Linked DNA regions of Callithrix jacchus. The protein of the gene in region 2 interacts with the protein of the main gene of each other region in a pairwise test. Links are inferred from orthologs where the notes say so. Each region holds a gene or a part of one and is shown on either strand. Other genes may lie near its edges.

Region 1 (5,429 bases), on a different chromosome or scaffold from region 2:
CAGTGAATAAAACTAGCATGACACGCAGTTGCCACAATGAGAAAGGGGATATACATCAATTCATGAATTCACCGACCTTGTATTCCACCCACATGCAGCACAGAAATGACACACCACACCACCTGGATGACAAAAAGTCCCATCCAGTAAGCAAGGGGTCAACAGGAGACACCCGACTCCAACCTACCTTCACGTTATCAGACTTCATCTCGGTGTCTGTGTAGAGGCCCTTCATGAAACCAGTCATTCTAATCACCTTCAAGAGAGAAAAAAAAGGCCACCACTGTCACCTCAGGGACAGCCTCCTCATCCGCCTCATCCACTGAACTCCACACCTGGGAGATGTCAGAATTGACTGGCAGCCCAGACCCATCCACTTACTCAAGAAATACTTGATATCTACTACGCGTGTGTACAGGGCAGAAGCCAGCCAGGTCCTCACAGAATTTAGTGTGGCTGTATGGACAGACGGGTAAAGATGACACCATCCAGATACTAAGGAAGAACTTAGGTTTGGTACCTAGTCCACAATCCAGGAGGGGAAGGGGTGGCAGGAGCCCTTCCTGGAGGAATCACACCTAGATGGGGATCAGAAGGCTTACAGAAGAGTTGGACACACATACCAGATGGAAGAAAGTCCGCATAAGGTCCAGAGTCCTGTGCAAGAAATCCAAAGAAAGGTAGGATGGCAGGAGCCTGAGGCCAGAGAGACACTCGGGGCCTGGTGCAGAGGCCCTTGAAGCCACTCAGGGACATGAACTGAGCCCAAGGACCACGAAGAGGACATGGACAATTCTAAAGCAGGAAAGGGCCTGGCCACACAGCATTTTACAAGAATCCTTCAGGTGCAGTGGAGGGAACAGATTCCAAAAAGAAAAGGAACTTTGGCTGGGCACAGAGGCTCACACCTGTAATCCCAGCACTTTGGGAGGCCAAGGTGGGTGGATCACTTGAGGTCAGGGGTTCAAGATCAACCTGGCCAATGTGGCAAAACCCCATCTCTACTAAAAATACAAAAGTTAACACTGGGTATAGTGGCATGTGCCTGTAGTCCCAGCTACTCGGGAGGCTGAGACAGGAGAATAATTTGAACCCAGGAGGTGGAGGTTGCAGTGAGTCGAGATCGTGCCACTGCACTCCAGCCTGGGTGACAGAGCAAGACTCCCTCTAAAAAAAAAAAAAAATTGTGAGCAATAACTGTAAGTGACAAGAGACATTAATATCACAGGATCCACACTTAGCTTAATGAAAGGGATGGTTAGTTTAGCTGTAGCTTAAATACTAATATGGTGATTTGAGTATAATATTTAGGATAATAAAGCATTTTCATAAGACCCTTTCCACCTATTATCTCAAAATGCTTTCCAATATGTCAGTCATTCTAGCCTCTTTATCAAGTAGGTGACAATTCCTGTATTGATCTTTACACAAGAAGAAAAACGAACTTTGGCATAAATGAGGAAGTCTCTGGGAGTAGAGCAGACCAGTCATTCCTAATTGGGAACACACAACTAGTCCCACACCCTAGCCACCTGGCCAGGAAGGCGATCCTTTTATTTATTTATTTATTTTTTTGAGACAGGGTCTTACTCTGTCACACCGGCTGGAGTGCACTGGTGCAATCACAGCTCACTGCAGCCTCAACCTCCTGAGCTCAAGCGATTCTCCCTACTCAGCTTCCTGAGTAGCTGGGATTACAGGTGCACCACGACACTCGGCTAATTTTTGTATTCTTCGTAGAGCTGGAGTTTTGCCATGTTGGCCAGGCTGGTCTTGAACTCCTGGGCCGAAGTGATCTGCCTACTGTGGCCTTCCAGAGTGCTGGGATTGCAGGTGTGAGCCGCCCCCGGGTGGCCCTTTCCCACGAGGATGCCTCTGACCAGCTATGCAGTAGTGACTGGACCGTCACCAAGAGCTGAGCTGCACCACTACCCCACAAGGATAAGACACACTCCCTGCACCTCACTCCTAGGGCTCTGCATTTCAGTGGGGCAGGCAGGACTGGGAGAAGATTAAAGGTTTTGGCAGCCACAGCTGTGGTGGGTTGGGCTCACATTGGCTCTTACTTGTTTCCTCTGGGGCAGAGGACGTAGGCCCTGCCTACTTCACAGGAGTGACATGTGCACTGTCCTGCTCCTACAAGCCTATCCACACGGCAGGTCCCCTCCCCACACACTGCCCAGGACAAGCTGTAAGTGCTGCACCAGTTGGGAGGACATAACCAGGGCTGGCGGTGCCCTGGGATGTGGGTGGATTCAAGAGCATTTTTAAGCACTGTCTTAACACAGAGGCACAGGCTCCAGGAGAGCGTACACTGGAAGCCAAGGTAGGAGGGCAGAACCAGAAGAGCGATGTCTGTGTAAGAATACGGCACCCAACCTGTAGAAAAGAGTGAGAACTGGAGCTTAAGGCCCATCACCAGGTTAGCTCATGAGCCCCCGGAAGTCTCCAAGTCCGACCTGAATCCTCAATCCCAGAACACACCTCTGAGTTCCCATGTGCCCTTGGGTGCACCCTGCAAATGGGTGCTGCACCCCCTGCAGTGACGCTCCTGAGAGTTACCAGGGAGTTACCCGGAGCCGTGACAGGTCCCACGCAACAGGGGATGTTTGCTGTGAATTTCTATGTACCTGATCCAGGGCAGATCACCAGAGCCATGCTGACAAGCAGGGTCTCCGTCACTAAGGAGCACGCCACCCGCAAGCGGGGAAAAGCCACACAGACCACCAATCTTCAATTTAGGGCAGGCTATGCGGCTCTGTTACAGCTGTTCCTACCAAGTCTCCCCACAACCACCTCCACTAAATTCACCCACAGACATTTATCAAGCACCCAAAATAGGGTATGGAGGGCAGCTTTGAGGCAGGAGAGTTGTACAAAAAATATTATTTCCATTGTCCCAGGATTTAGGGAGCGCCTTCCATGTGTTACATGCTCCAGCGCAAGCGAGAGGGGTTCCCCAGGGTTACACAAGGAGGGAGCAGAATGGAAGATGCGCTCTAAAGAGATACACGGACAGGCAGGGAAGAAGTTAAGAATGCTCCCCGAGGGCCCGGAGCCTCCCTGTAAGCGGCCGGGAGCGGGGGAAGGGGTCAGACGTCCGCGAGGAGGGCGCCGCGGAATTGGGCCTACAGGCCGGGCTCCGGGGCAGGGGCTGCACAGAGCTCTGGCCCCGACCCCGGGACTGACTGCAGCCCCCTAACCGCACCCCGCGCCCGGCCCTGACCCGGTCCCCGACCTGCACCCCGACCCCGGCCCACACCGGGTCCACACTCGGCCCTGACCTGGTCCCCTACCTGCACCTCGAGCCCGGCCCGGGCCCTGACCCCGGCCCAGCCCCGGCCCCCGACCCTGGCTAACACCCGGCGCCCACCGGGACCCCGACCCGCCCCTGGCCCGGCGCGGCCCCCGGCGCCCACCTCGGTGATGATGTCGTGCAGGTAGCGGAACGGGGGCTTGCTCAGCAGCTTCTCCGTCAGCGGCGGCCTCCGGATCACCTTCCCCAGCGCCTCCTGCGTCCGCCTCACCACCGCCGAATTCATGGCAGCCTCCGCTGCCCACGCCCCTCAGCCGACCCGGCCGAGCCTAAGCCCGGGTCCCTGGCCGCCGCCTGCCCCGCCGCCGTCGCCCGCCCCGCAGCCACAGCCCGGTCCCGCCAGGACGCGCCGCTACGGTTTCCATCCCACAGTGCACCGGAGCCCGCCACGGCGCCTGCGCGGAAGCCGCAAGGCGTTCGGTCGCTAGGGCTGCGCGGCCTTAGCAACGGACGCGCCGCGGCGCCCCATCCGCGTCTACCGTCCTGCGCCGGCGCAAACAAGAGGGGGATTCCGCCGGAGGGGGGGGGGCGGGGGGGCGTCCGCGCGTGCGCAGACGAGGGGGGCGCGGCGGGGCGGGGGAAGGTGGTCCGGGGTCCCGCGCCTCGCCCCTCCAATGCGGAGCGACGGCCTCGCGAAGTGGGTGTTGGCTCGCCTTAGAGGCCACCGCCTGAGGACTGATGCACAGCGGGGTAAACCAAGATCTGGGCCGCCTGCTTCCCAAATCTCAAGGGCTTTCGCGGGCACTGGTTCATCGGAGGGGATGGAGCTGTTATCCCAAAACACACGGAATGGAAAATAGACTGTCCTGGCCGGGCGCGGTGGCTCACGCCTGTAATCCCAGCACTTTGGGAGGCCCAGGCGGGCGGATCAGTAGGTCAAGAGATCGAGACCATCCTGGCCAACATGGTGAAACCCCGTCTCTACTGAAAATACAAAAATCAGCCGGTCGTGGTGGTGTGTGCCTGTAACCCCAACTACTTGGAAGGCTGAGGAATCGCTTGAACCCCGGGGGCCAGAGACTGCAGTGAGCCGAAGTCGCGCCACCGCACCCCAGCCTGGGCAACACAGCAAAACTCTGTCTTTAAAAACAAACAAACAAAAAGTATAAAATTCTAACTTGACTGGGTTTTGTTTTTTTTTTTCCGTACTTTAAGGATGTTACCCCATTGACTTCTGGCTTGCATAGGTTCAGAATAAAAATCTTCCATACAGCCAGGCGTTGTGGCTCACGCCTGTAATCCCAGCACCTTGGGAAGCCGAGGTGGGCACCTGAGGTCACGAGTTCAAGACCAGCCTGACCAACATGGAGAAACCCCGTCTGTACTAAAAATATAAAATTAGCCGGGTGGGCATGGTGGCGCATGCCTGCAGTACCAGCTACTCGGGAGGCTGAGCCAGGAGAATCACTTGAACCTGGGAGACGGAGGTTGCAATCAGCCGAGATCACTATTACACTCTAGCCTGGGCAACAAGAGTGAAACTCCGTCTCAAAGAAAAAAAGTCTTCTGTAATTCTTTGTTCTGTCTATTGTGTTTCTGGCAGCCTTCAAGATTTTATTTATATTATTGGTTTACCAGAAGTCTGCACGTGGTATATCTAGATGTGGGGGTCTCTTTTGCCTAAAATTTGTATTTTATTATTTACATACAATAAAATTCATGCATTTTAAGTATGCAGGTTGGTACAGCTTGGTAATTATTTCTAATTATGTGACCACCACCACAGTCAAAATATACAACTGTCCCTGCGCCCTCAAAGACTTCTTGCTGCTTATTTGCAGCCTATCTCCTTCCCCACCCGAGTTCCAGGCAACCACTAATCTGGTTTCTGTCACTGTAATTTTGCTTCTTCTAGAATTTCATATAAATGCAATCATGTAGCACATAGTCTTTTGTATTTTATTATTTCTCTTGTAATATTTTTGCCGTTCCTTTTTGTGGCTGAATGGTATTCCGTAGTATAATTTGTTTATTCATCAGTTGATGGACATTTGGGTTGCTTTCGGTTTTTTATTTTTTGTGAACAATTCTGCTGGCCAGGCACGGTGGCTCACACCTGTAATCCCAGCACTTTGGGAGGCCAAGGTGGGTGGATCACTTGAGGTCAGGGGTT
Region 2 (5,365 bases):
AGGATGAAAGTGTTCACTCGCATTAAGAGGTTCAAGGTCAAGGGTGTTAGAAAAGTCACCAGCACCACTGAGCATGACAGCAGTGGGCAAGAGGCAGCAATTCAATTGCTAAAATTACTAAAGAAAATGGGAGACTGCTCTGGAAGCTAAGTGATACAGATATGAAACTGAGTATATGTAATTACTATAGTTCCCTAAAAATCATAGAACATATACAAACATAATCATTTGATTTTAGATAATTTTCAAGTCCATCTCTCCATGCTACAAGTCATAGCACAGTCTACCTCTAGAAAGAATACTATATTGTAATAAATTACCCAGTTAAGACCTGGAATACTTTGCAAACTCAATAGAAGATAGAAAAGTTAGTTTCCACGATATTGCAATAAGATGGTAATAGTATTAATACTAACATATTAATACTGGAGTATACATGAAGTATTAATACCATATTTTAATATTTAACATGTTTTGATTATAGAATCAGTAGAATACTTTCTTTTTAAAAATTTTTTTCGGCCAGGCGCGGTGGTTCATGCCTATAATCCCAGCACTTTGGGAGGCCGAGGCGGGCAGATCATGTCAGGATATCGAGACCATCCTGGCCATGATGAAACCCCATCTCTACTGAAACAGAAAAAGTTAGCCAGGTGTGGGGGCAGGCGCCTGTAGTCCCAACTACTCAGGAGACTGAGGCAGGGGAATTGCTTGAATCCGGGAGACAGATGTTGTAGTCAGCTGAGATTGTGCCACTGTACTCCAGGGAAAGAGCAAGACTCCGTCTCAAAAAAAAAAAAAAAAATGTATATATATATATATATATATACATACACACACACATACATACATATATATACACACATACATATATATATGTATATTTTGTTTGTTTTTGTTTTTCTGTATAGAGACTAGGTCTCACTGTGTTGCCCAGGCTGATCTCGAACTTCTGGGCTCAAGCGATCCTCCCGCCTCGGCCTGCCGAAGTGCTGGGATTACAGGCGTGAGCCACCGCGCCCGGCCTAATGGAATACTTTCAACCGTGCTTCTGTATTGACCTTCCATGTTCCAACCCATCCACAATTGCAGCCAAAATGATGTTACTAAAGTAAAAACTTGGGAGAAAGCTTCTGGAAGGAGCAGAAGCTGTGGAGTCCAAAGAACCTGTGTTCCTATCCTTTTTGTGCCACTTGACACGTTCCGCACAAGGGTCCCTACAGTGTTCGTTCACCGTCTTCGGCAATCAGGATGACTCCCTGAAGGGCTGTCAAACGAAGCAAACTCGCAAACTGAGACAATTCCATTGTTTACGTAACTTTGGCCAAATCCACTCCTTCCTACGAAATATCCAGCTCACAGAGCCGGCTGAGATGCTTTCTTGCTTTAATTCTTTGAAGAGTCACAGGTGTCCATTTTACACGTGCGGCTGAAGACTGGATTTCAGAAGGCCCTCCCTCCCGCCGCGTTCACCTAGTAACCCCAGCTTGGGGATAAGGACCTGTAGCCTCAGTGCGACCCGGAAAGTGAATCCGCCCTTCTAGCCTCCTTCGCACCAATCGCCCGGAGCTGGCGTTTCCGCAGCCGGGGTAGAACCCACCCTTTAAGAGCTGCCGAGTCGGGTACCGGAGAAGAGGTTGCGCGTGCGCAGTGGAGTCGGCTGCCCTTCCGGTGCGCCGGGCGCGGACGCGGGCACGCACATACGCACGCACGACTCCACTTACTCGCGCCGCCGCTGCAGCTCCAGCGTTCACTAGTGCCGCCGTCCGCTCCACCGAGATGCTGCGGGTCTGTCAGTTATCGGGTGTGACCGCCGCCGCCCAGGTGAGCACTGGGGCTACCGAGGGCGTGTGAGGAAGCTGACCTAAGACCGTCAGCGGCAAACTGGGGAGTCTTGGACGCTGCCTCGCTTCCAGGACAGAGGCGAGTCTTAGGGCCAACCTTGTTGGGAGAGGCCCGGGCTGGCAGTGAGGCAGCCACCAGAGAGTTCGCCGGAGTGGGATGACTTGAGGTTATTGCCACAGCAGGGTGGGGTGTGGAGAGTAGCGGGAGGCGCGGCTTCGCGGGCGTGCCATCCAATCAGCGCCGCGCTGCCCCCATCCAGGACCAATCCTGGCTGCTGTCGTCTGGGTCGCCGGTTGGGCGCGCGATAGGTTTCCACGGCTGAAGGTCGCCGCGGGAGAACTACAGTTCCCGGCAGGAGGAGCGGAGCCGCGGCTTGTTGCATCCTTGATCAGGAGGTTCTTGGACTTCTAGAGAGAGTCCACATTTTAGGGGTCAAGTTTATAATTATCTGGAGGGGACTGTCTTTTCGCATCTGAGAACACCTCTGAACTGCTATTCGTAATTCAAACAAAAGCGAAAGATGAAATTCCTTTGTGGAGCTGAAACTCCTGGTAAGGAAAGACAGGAGTCATGACCTTGTGGCTCATTTCTGAGATTAGGACAGGGATCTGTGTCTCCAGGCGCTAAGACTACTTTGACATTCAAGGAGCCAAAACACCCAGTTGCTTTTAGTTTTACGTAGTAACCAAAGTTACTTTCTAAAATTGAAAATAAACCTGTTTGCATTGCTCATGATTTTCAGAAAGTTGATATTTTGGCAAAATGTTGTAGATAGTAAAACAAGTACTGTGACTCAAGCAGTAATTGAACAGAATCTCCAGGAATAGTGAGTTAGAGATCATAAAAGTCAAGCTTTGTTTTTTCAAGTTCGCTTCTCTTTCTATTTGCTGCTAGGGTAAGAGAAGCAGCCCCTTCCATAGGAAAGTGGAACGAACCTGTGTTAGTCTTCTATTGCTATGTAACAACACAAATTTTGCAGCTTGAAACAACACCCGTGAATGACTCCTACACTTTCTGTAGGAGTCTGGGCATGGATGATCTGGGTTCTCTGCTCAGGGTCACACAGGGCTGCAAAGTATTAGCCATGCTGTGGTTCTCTTGGAGATCAGGGTCCTCTTCCAGGCTCATGCAGTCTGTTGGCAGAATTCAATCCCTTGCAGTTACAGGACTGAAGTCCCTCTTTTCTTGCTGCCTCTTGCCAGCCACTGCTCACAGCTTCCATAGCAAGGCCTCCAGAGGCCATTGGTAGCACGGATGTTTGCTTTCGTGCAAGCTACCAGGAGCTTGTCTCTCTGACTTCCAAATTTCTTTTACTTCCGTCTTTCCTCTCTAGACCCAGATTTAAAAGGCTTATGTGATTAGACCAGACCCACCTGAATGACCTCCTTTTCAGTTAATTCAGTCAACTTTTTGGGATCCCATTTGGGGAATAAGAAGACTAATTAAAACTTGGTAATAAAAAATGTACCCTTTTATAGCTCTAAGTCAAGATGTCTAAGCTTCCTGAAATTGCTATCTTATCAACTCTCAGAACTTTAATCCCCAAGCAGATGACTCTGTAGCCTCATCATATTTGATTTTGTCAACTTATCCAGAATATTCCACTTGTCAAGATCCTTTCCACTTTATTAAACTCCATCATCTTTTTTTTTTTTTTGATACAGAGTCTCACTTTGTCACCCAGGCTTGAGTGCGGTGGGATGATCATGGCTCACTGCAGCCTTGACCTCCCGAGTGCAGGGGATCCTCTTACCTCAGCCTCCTGAGCAGCTGGGACCACAGGCATGTGCCACCATCCCTGGCTAATTTTTAAAAAAAATATTGTAGAGATGGGGTCTTTCTGTGTTGCCCAGGCTGGTCTCAAACTCCTTGGCTCAAATGATCCTCCCACTTCTGCCTCCTAAAATGGCTGGGATTATAGGTGTGCGCCACTGTGCCCAGCAACCCCATCTTAAATGTCTTACTGCTTTTACTATTTCATCCTAGTGTCCATTGTTTAGGAGGGAGTAGTAAAACCAGTAAGACATTTAGTTAGTAAAAGACTTTTTAAAAGGCAAACATGATGTCATGTCCTTTAGAGACATCCCATCACGTTCAGAATAACATTTAAACTGTCTGCTGTGGGCCCTTGATCTGACTCTTCTCATATTTCATTTTTCTACTGCCTCACTCAGATTCTCCTGGTAATCTCCAGCATGTACCTCACTCCCTTTTCATTAGGTGTTTCTTTTGCCCTGGGCTCTACTCACACGTTTGCTTAGCTTATTACCTTCAGTTATTTTCTCAAATGTCACCTTCCCTTCAGAGAGGGCATCCCGATCCAAAATAGTATTCTGATTACTCTTGCCTTCCTTGCATCACCTGTATTTTTATCCCATCCTACTTTATTATGCTTTGTAGCTCCTAGCACTACCTGATGTTATAATGTGCATTGCACAGTCACCTTTAAAACGTAAACTCCACAATGGAACTGTGTCCATATAGTTTGCTGCTATATTTCCAGTACTAACAATAGTCCCTGGCTCTGAGTGGATGCTCATATATATGTTTATGACATATATAAATGAATGAATGAATATAATGTGTTCATTAATTTTTTTTTTTTTTTTTTTTTGAGACAGAGTCTCACTCTTTCGCCAGACTGGAATGCGGTGGTGCGATCTTGGCTCACTGCACCCTCTGCCTCCCGGGTTCAAGTGATTCTCCTGCCTTAGCCTCCTAAGTAGCCACCACGCCCAGCTAATTTTTGTATTTTTAGTAGAGACAGGGTTTCGCCATGTTGACCAGGATGATCTCTATCTCTTGACATCTTGATCCGCCCACCTCGGCTTCCCAAAGTGCTGGGATTACAGACGTGAGCCACTGCGCCCGGCTTTTTTTTTTTTTTAATTAAAAAAAGTGTTTTAGACATGGGGTCTCACTGTGTTTCCCAGGCTTGTCTTCACTCCTAGGCTCAAGTGATATGCCTGCCTCAGCCTCCCAAAGTGGAATTTTTCTTAATCGCTGTCAGTGGATGTGACCTCCCTTTAAACATCCTATAGATTTTCAAACCTCTGATTATATATTAGGGTTCTCCAGAGAAAAAGAAACAAGAGGGTGTGTGTGTGTGTGTGTGTGTGTGTGTGTGTGTGTGTGTATTGAGATAGGGTCTCATTCTGTTGCCCAGGCTGGAGTACAGCAGCATGATAATAATTCATTTCAGTTTTGATCAACTGGGCTTAAGCTATCCTCCCACCTCACCTGAGTAGCAGGGACTCAGGCTCACACCACCATGCCCAGCTAGTGTTTTGGACTTTTAGTAGAGATGGGATCCCCCTGCCTTGTCCTCCCAAAAGTGCTGGGATTACAGGAATGAGCCATAGTGCCCAGCCCAGGAAGATTTGTTATAAGGACTCCACTCATGCAGTTATAGAGGCTGGCAAGTCCAGAATCTGCTGTGTGGGTTGGCAGGTTGGAGACCTAGGAGAGCCAATATTGCAATTTCAGTCCAATGGCTAGCAGCCTGGAGACCCAGGAGAGT
Region 3 (5,329 bases), on a different chromosome or scaffold from region 2:
AGTCTTGCTCGTCACCCGGGCTAGAGGGCAGTGGCACGATCTCAGCTCACTGCAACCTCCGCCTCCTGGGTTCAGGTGATTCTCCTGCCTCAGCCTCCCGTATAGCTGCGACTGCAGGTGCCCGTCACCGTGCCCGTCACCATGCCCAGCTAATATTTGTATTTTTAGTAGAGACGGGGTTTCACCATACTGGCCAGACAGGTCTTAAACTCCTGACATTGTGATCTGCCCACCTCAGCCTCCCAAAGTGTTGGGATTACAGGCGTGAGCCACCACACCCAGCCTAATTACTTAATTTGTAAATTGTGGATGATGAAACTGCCAACGCTAACTCACGGGATTATTGAGAAGCATAAATGAGATTTATCATTATATTTCCTCATTAATATTCTTATATTCATATTCCCATGTAATATTTCAAACTAATGTGAGAAAGTGCTTTGAACCTAATTGTGCAATACAAATGTGAGTTGTTACTTTTATGGTTCTTGTTTTAAATTTCTGGATTTCATCCTTGACTGTTGCATTTATTTCTTTTATTAATCCTTGAGTACTTGACCTTTGTTTTTTTTTGAGATGGAATCTTGCTCTGTTACCCCGGCTGGAGTGCAGTGGCGCAGTCTCGGCTCACTGCAGTCTCTGCCTCCTGGGTTCAAACGATTTCCTCTGCCTCAGCCTCCCGAGTAGCTGGGACTATAGGTGCGCACCATCATGCCCAGCTAATTTTTTGTATTTTAGTAGAGACGGGTTTTCACCATGTTGGCCAGGATGGTCTTGATCTTCTGAACTTGTGATCTGCCTGCCTCAGCCTCCTAAAGTGCTGGATTACAGGTGTGAGTTACTACACCTGACCAAGTACTTGCCACTTAATATGGTTATTGTTTAACGTGCATTGTTTTGCATCACGCTGATGTATCTTCTGATGATTGTAAATTGAGTATCTAGTATAGTGTCTTGATTATTTACAATTATGTTGACTTTTATTGATGTTTGCTTTGGTAAATTCCACAGCTTTGTCTCTGGCTAGCATGTTTTGTTCTAATATATTTGGATTTGACATAAATGTTTTCTGTAAAATGTTTTACCTATTAAGACATGGACTTGTTTTTATTAGGCCTTCACAGAGCTTCAAGCCAAAGTTATCGACACTCAACAGAAGGTGAAGCTGGCAGACATACAGATTGAACAGCTAAACAGAACGAAAAAGCATGCACATCTTACAGATACAGAGATCATGACTTTGGTAGATGAGACTAACATGTATGAAGGTGTAGGAAGAATGTAAGTAAAGTATGTCCTTAATAGAGTTATTTTGGGAGTGCTTTTCTCTGAATTAAATAGAATTTGTTCATCCTAAAACTTGAGTTAGGCCGGGCACAGTGGCTGAAGCCTGTAATCACAGCATTTGGGGAGACTGAGGGGGGTGGATCATTTGAGGGCAGCCTGGCCAATATGGTGAAACCCTGTGACTACCACAGATACAAAGAATAGCTGAGCATGTTGGCACTTGCCTGTACTTCCAGCTACTTGGGAGGCTGAGGCAGGAGAGTTGCTTGAACCTGGGAGGTGGAGGTTGCAGTGAGCTGAGATCGTGCCACTGCCCTCCAGCCTGGGCAACAGAGGTAGCTGTGTACAAAACGAAACAAAGCAAAGCAAAACCTGGATTAAAGTATCGTAGAAATAACTTTATAGATTATTTAATTAAGTGCCTTCTTTTTTTCAGATGAGGAGCTGAACCTCAGTAGATTAGTGAAAGTGTTTAATGTTAGACTTTGAAGTATATTTCTTAAGTGCTTACCTCCCTCTTCTGTCTATGATTAGGTACTTAAGTGTGTAAGTTCAGTAATAAAAATATGATTCATTGTGGAAAATGGTTATAGTAATTTGATATTGTAGGTGAAGATTTATTTAAGTAGGTTTAGTTTTAACCTCCTCTTCCCTACTCAATTTATTAGGAGTGATACAAATCATAAATCTTTCAGATGTCTGATCACGGTTGTAAAAGAAAAATAAATATTCAGTTGTCATTTAAATACATTCATTCTGGCTGGGTGTGTTGGCTCGTGCCTGCAATCCCAGCACTTTGGGAGGCTGAGGTGGGTGGATTCCCTGAGATTAGGAGTTAGAAACCAGCCTGGCCAACGTGGTAAAACCCCACCTCTACAAAAATACAAAAATTAGCCAGGCATGGTGGCGCACACCTGTAATCCCAATTGCTTGGAAGACTGAGGCAGGAGAACCACTTGAATCGGGGAGGTGGAGGTTGCAGTGAGCCAAGATTGTACCATTGCACTCTAGCCTGGGCAACAAGAGTGAAACTCCGTCTCAAAAAACAAACAAAAAATACACTCATTCTGTGTGTCATGTGTTCTAATAGGAGGACAACTCACATTTGAGAAATCTAATAAATCATTTTACTTTTTGCTTGTTCTAATTATTATACAATTAACTATGTACATTTCACTTTTTTTTCTTTTAAAAACATTACCCTTGTGAGAGAGACTAGGTCTGCTTCATATTCTTTAAGCAGAAAAAAAGGAATGGAAAAGCCCTTAAGTACAGGTCACATTCCATTACAGTGAGCTAAAAGGAGAAGACTGATTTTTTTTTTTAAGTTGGGGGGAGGTACAAGAGGAGGGTTTTTCTGGAATTTGGTCTTTGAGAATTTACTTAGTAAGTGGACCATTACTTCAGGTTTGGAGATCTTTTAGTTAGAATGGAATTTGACCTCAGTCTTGGGATGACTTGTTTTGTGATTGATTTGAAGGAAGAATAACATGTGTAAAATTTAATAATGGCTTTGAAATGACATCATGAGAAGTAGACCCTGCTCATTCACTGACTAATCCATATCTTTATGGTTCGGAATTAGATTATGTTAAATTGTTCATCTGATTTGCTTTCTCAGAATGAATAATATAGCACAAGGAAATTTTATCTCCAAGCTCATATATTTCATTTTAGTTTGTTTTGAGAGGATAAGGATCCCAATTTGAAAGTTTGTTACTGGGACACAAAAGAATTGGGATGAGAACAAAGTAGAACCCTGGAATATGTGTCTGTGTAGTATGAAATACATTGTTGGCATTCACTACAGGATAATTTTATCCTTAATGTGAATATCCTTAGGTCTTAAAACAGTAATGCTAGCTTTTCTAGTATGCCTGTTAACATGTTGTACTTGGATTTCACATCACTGCACTAGCCTTTGTTTGCAATAGCTAAAGAATTCCTTTTTCAAAATAGAAAAACTCTTTCACACTCTGGCCTTTTGAACTACAGTGAATTTTTAATTTTAATTAGAGGAGTTTCATTTATTAAATGTTCTGCAGAATGGATAGGAGAGTTGCTTTTTTGTACATATTGTCCAAAGTGCTACAGATAGGCTGTTTTCCATACAAAGAATTCTAGAGTTTAAAGGCTAGGATATGAATTAGTTAATGGTGGAATGGTATTATTTCCGGAAGGTTTATTTCCTATAAATTATGTTTCTTAAAAGAATTATGCAGTTTTAAATGTTTGGATAAAGTTGAGCTTCTACATGATTTCAGACTTCTGTTTTAAATTTGATTTTTGTACTTTCTGCATCTCACCGGGAGTATGAGTTTGACCCTGTGTTGTAGGGGCAAGTAAGGTGAATGGCGTTTGTTGTTTGGCTGGAGTATTAGTGCTCTGAGAGGAAGAAAAGACTTGCTGAGTATTAGTCTGGTCATGAGGATGTTCTCTTTCTTGATGCTAAACGTGAAATATCTATTTCTGAATTTATAGTCAAGTAATTTTGAGTATCATTGTGATTCAGGTCTTTAATTCTAGTCTTTACCTTAATTTGTTTTTTCTTTTCCTTTTGAGTGTTATATGGAAATTCTGATTAGAATATTACTTTTTCCCACATTTTTATTTTAAAACCACAGATAATAAAATCCCAAACTTTTTCTTTTAGAACCTGCAGTAGATTTTCCCGTGGCTGAAATTCAGGTCTCATTGTTTCTTGCCTAGGCTTTTGTGATAGCATCTTAACTGTTCTTTCTTCCTGCCTTCATTCTGTCTGTCCAAATCCATTCTTCACACATCTGGCAAAATTAATCACATCAATATTGTTCATAAAATCCTTTGTTCATCCTCTGTTGTCCACAGAATAAAATGTAAACTTGCTGGCCTTGCATTCATGGTTATTCATAATCTGTTCTTAATTACCCTTTGCCTCAGGTCTCACCACTTTCTTTTTCTAGGGTTGGCATAGCATGTGTATTTCAGCTCATGGACCTACCTCCTTCTACTAGTTTTGTGTTATGTATTGAGAAAAAATTTGAGGTGTCATATGGGTTTTAAACATGCTTTAGTTGATTAGTGATGTCTGTTTCACAGTGAGGGTAGAAGAGTAGTAGCACATGTACCAGAAATTGTTATCCTACCCTTGCCACATAGGTTTCCTCACACATGCTATGTTTTTGTGCTTTTTTGCTTTTGCTCAAGTCTTTGGCTGAATAACATTGCCCTTGGCTGGTAATATTCCCCTTTTCCTTGTGAAATTCTCATCCTTCAAGACATAGCTCAGATCTTACTTTGCCTTTGAAGATTTTTCCACCCCGTGGGGCAGACTCATTCACTCTTTCCTTGGCGATAGCAGGGCTTTTGTTCCTACAGCTAGTAAAGCACATTGAGTGTGTAGGTGTGTTTAAATGGGTCAGTCTTCCCAACCAGACTGTCAGCTCTGTGAGACCATATTTATATATATATGTATTATCTTTGTTTCTGCATTCCCAATGTAATGGTATAATGTCTGGCACAAAATAGCTGTTAAATGTGTATTGATTTGAATTGAACCTGATTCTTTTTTCTTGCCTAAAATAATGTTTTTTCTTCTGGTTTCTTAGAAAAAAAGTATTTTAGAAAGTGTCAGAGACTTAAGAGTGAGTGTATTATTTTGTTTTAATATATGATTCATATAAGATGAAATTATAAAAGTAATATATATTTTGACTAATTTCAAAAAAATTATATCTGACCAAAATCCTGTCCTTTGATCTGACAGTATTAATACTTTATTAAATATATTGAGAAGATTGACTAATTCTAAATACCAGCTAGTTGAAGAGATGTTCAGAACTGAAAATATAGAAAACCCAAGCATTTAGGATTATGCTTGAGGGTAGGTAGTATGATAAAGGCTTAGAGAATAAGGGCCATTTTATGTGTAATATTGTCAATATAATTTTATCCATTTTGCCTTACTAATCTTCATACAGAATGGAAGTCAGATTTTTTTTTTAGGATGTGTATTTAGTTAAACAAATCATTGCAGGCCCAGATACCTTTCACTTCATAAGTA

What was found.
Region 1: the proteins of IMMT (region 2) and TRAF3IP1 interact in a two-hybrid assay, tested with the Homo sapiens proteins (2 studies listed by BioGRID and IntAct). The link is inferred for Callithrix jacchus from reciprocal best matches to the Homo sapiens genes IMMT and TRAF3IP1.
Region 3: the proteins of IMMT (region 2) and PFDN1 interact in a two-hybrid assay, tested with the Homo sapiens proteins (2 studies listed by BioGRID and IntAct). The link is inferred for Callithrix jacchus from reciprocal best matches to the Homo sapiens genes IMMT and PFDN1.

The regions. Positions count from the first base shown.
Region 1 is NC_133507.1:159,641,773-159,647,201, reverse strand, and holds the start of TRAF3IP1 (TRAF3-interacting protein 1), read right to left. Parts: upstream 3,695-5,429; 5' UTR 3,543-3,694; coding exon 3,420-3,542; intron 257-3,419; coding exon 188-256; intron 1-187.
Region 2 is NC_133515.1:26,804,016-26,809,380, forward strand, and holds the start of IMMT (MICOS complex subunit MIC60), read left to right. Parts: upstream 1-1,662; 5' UTR 1,663-1,779; coding exon 1,780-1,824; intron 1,825-5,365. UniProt on the Homo sapiens protein: Component of the MICOS complex, a large protein complex of the mitochondrial inner membrane that plays crucial roles in the maintenance of crista junctions, inner membrane architecture, and formation of contact sites to the outer membrane.
Region 3 is NC_133503.1:38,670,683-38,676,011, reverse strand, and holds part of PFDN1 (prefoldin subunit 1), read left to right. Parts: intron 1-1,114; coding exon 1,115-1,281; intron 1,282-5,329. UniProt on the Homo sapiens protein: Binds specifically to cytosolic chaperonin (c-CPN) and transfers target proteins to it. Binds to nascent polypeptide chain and promotes folding in an environment in which there are many competing pathways for nonnative proteins.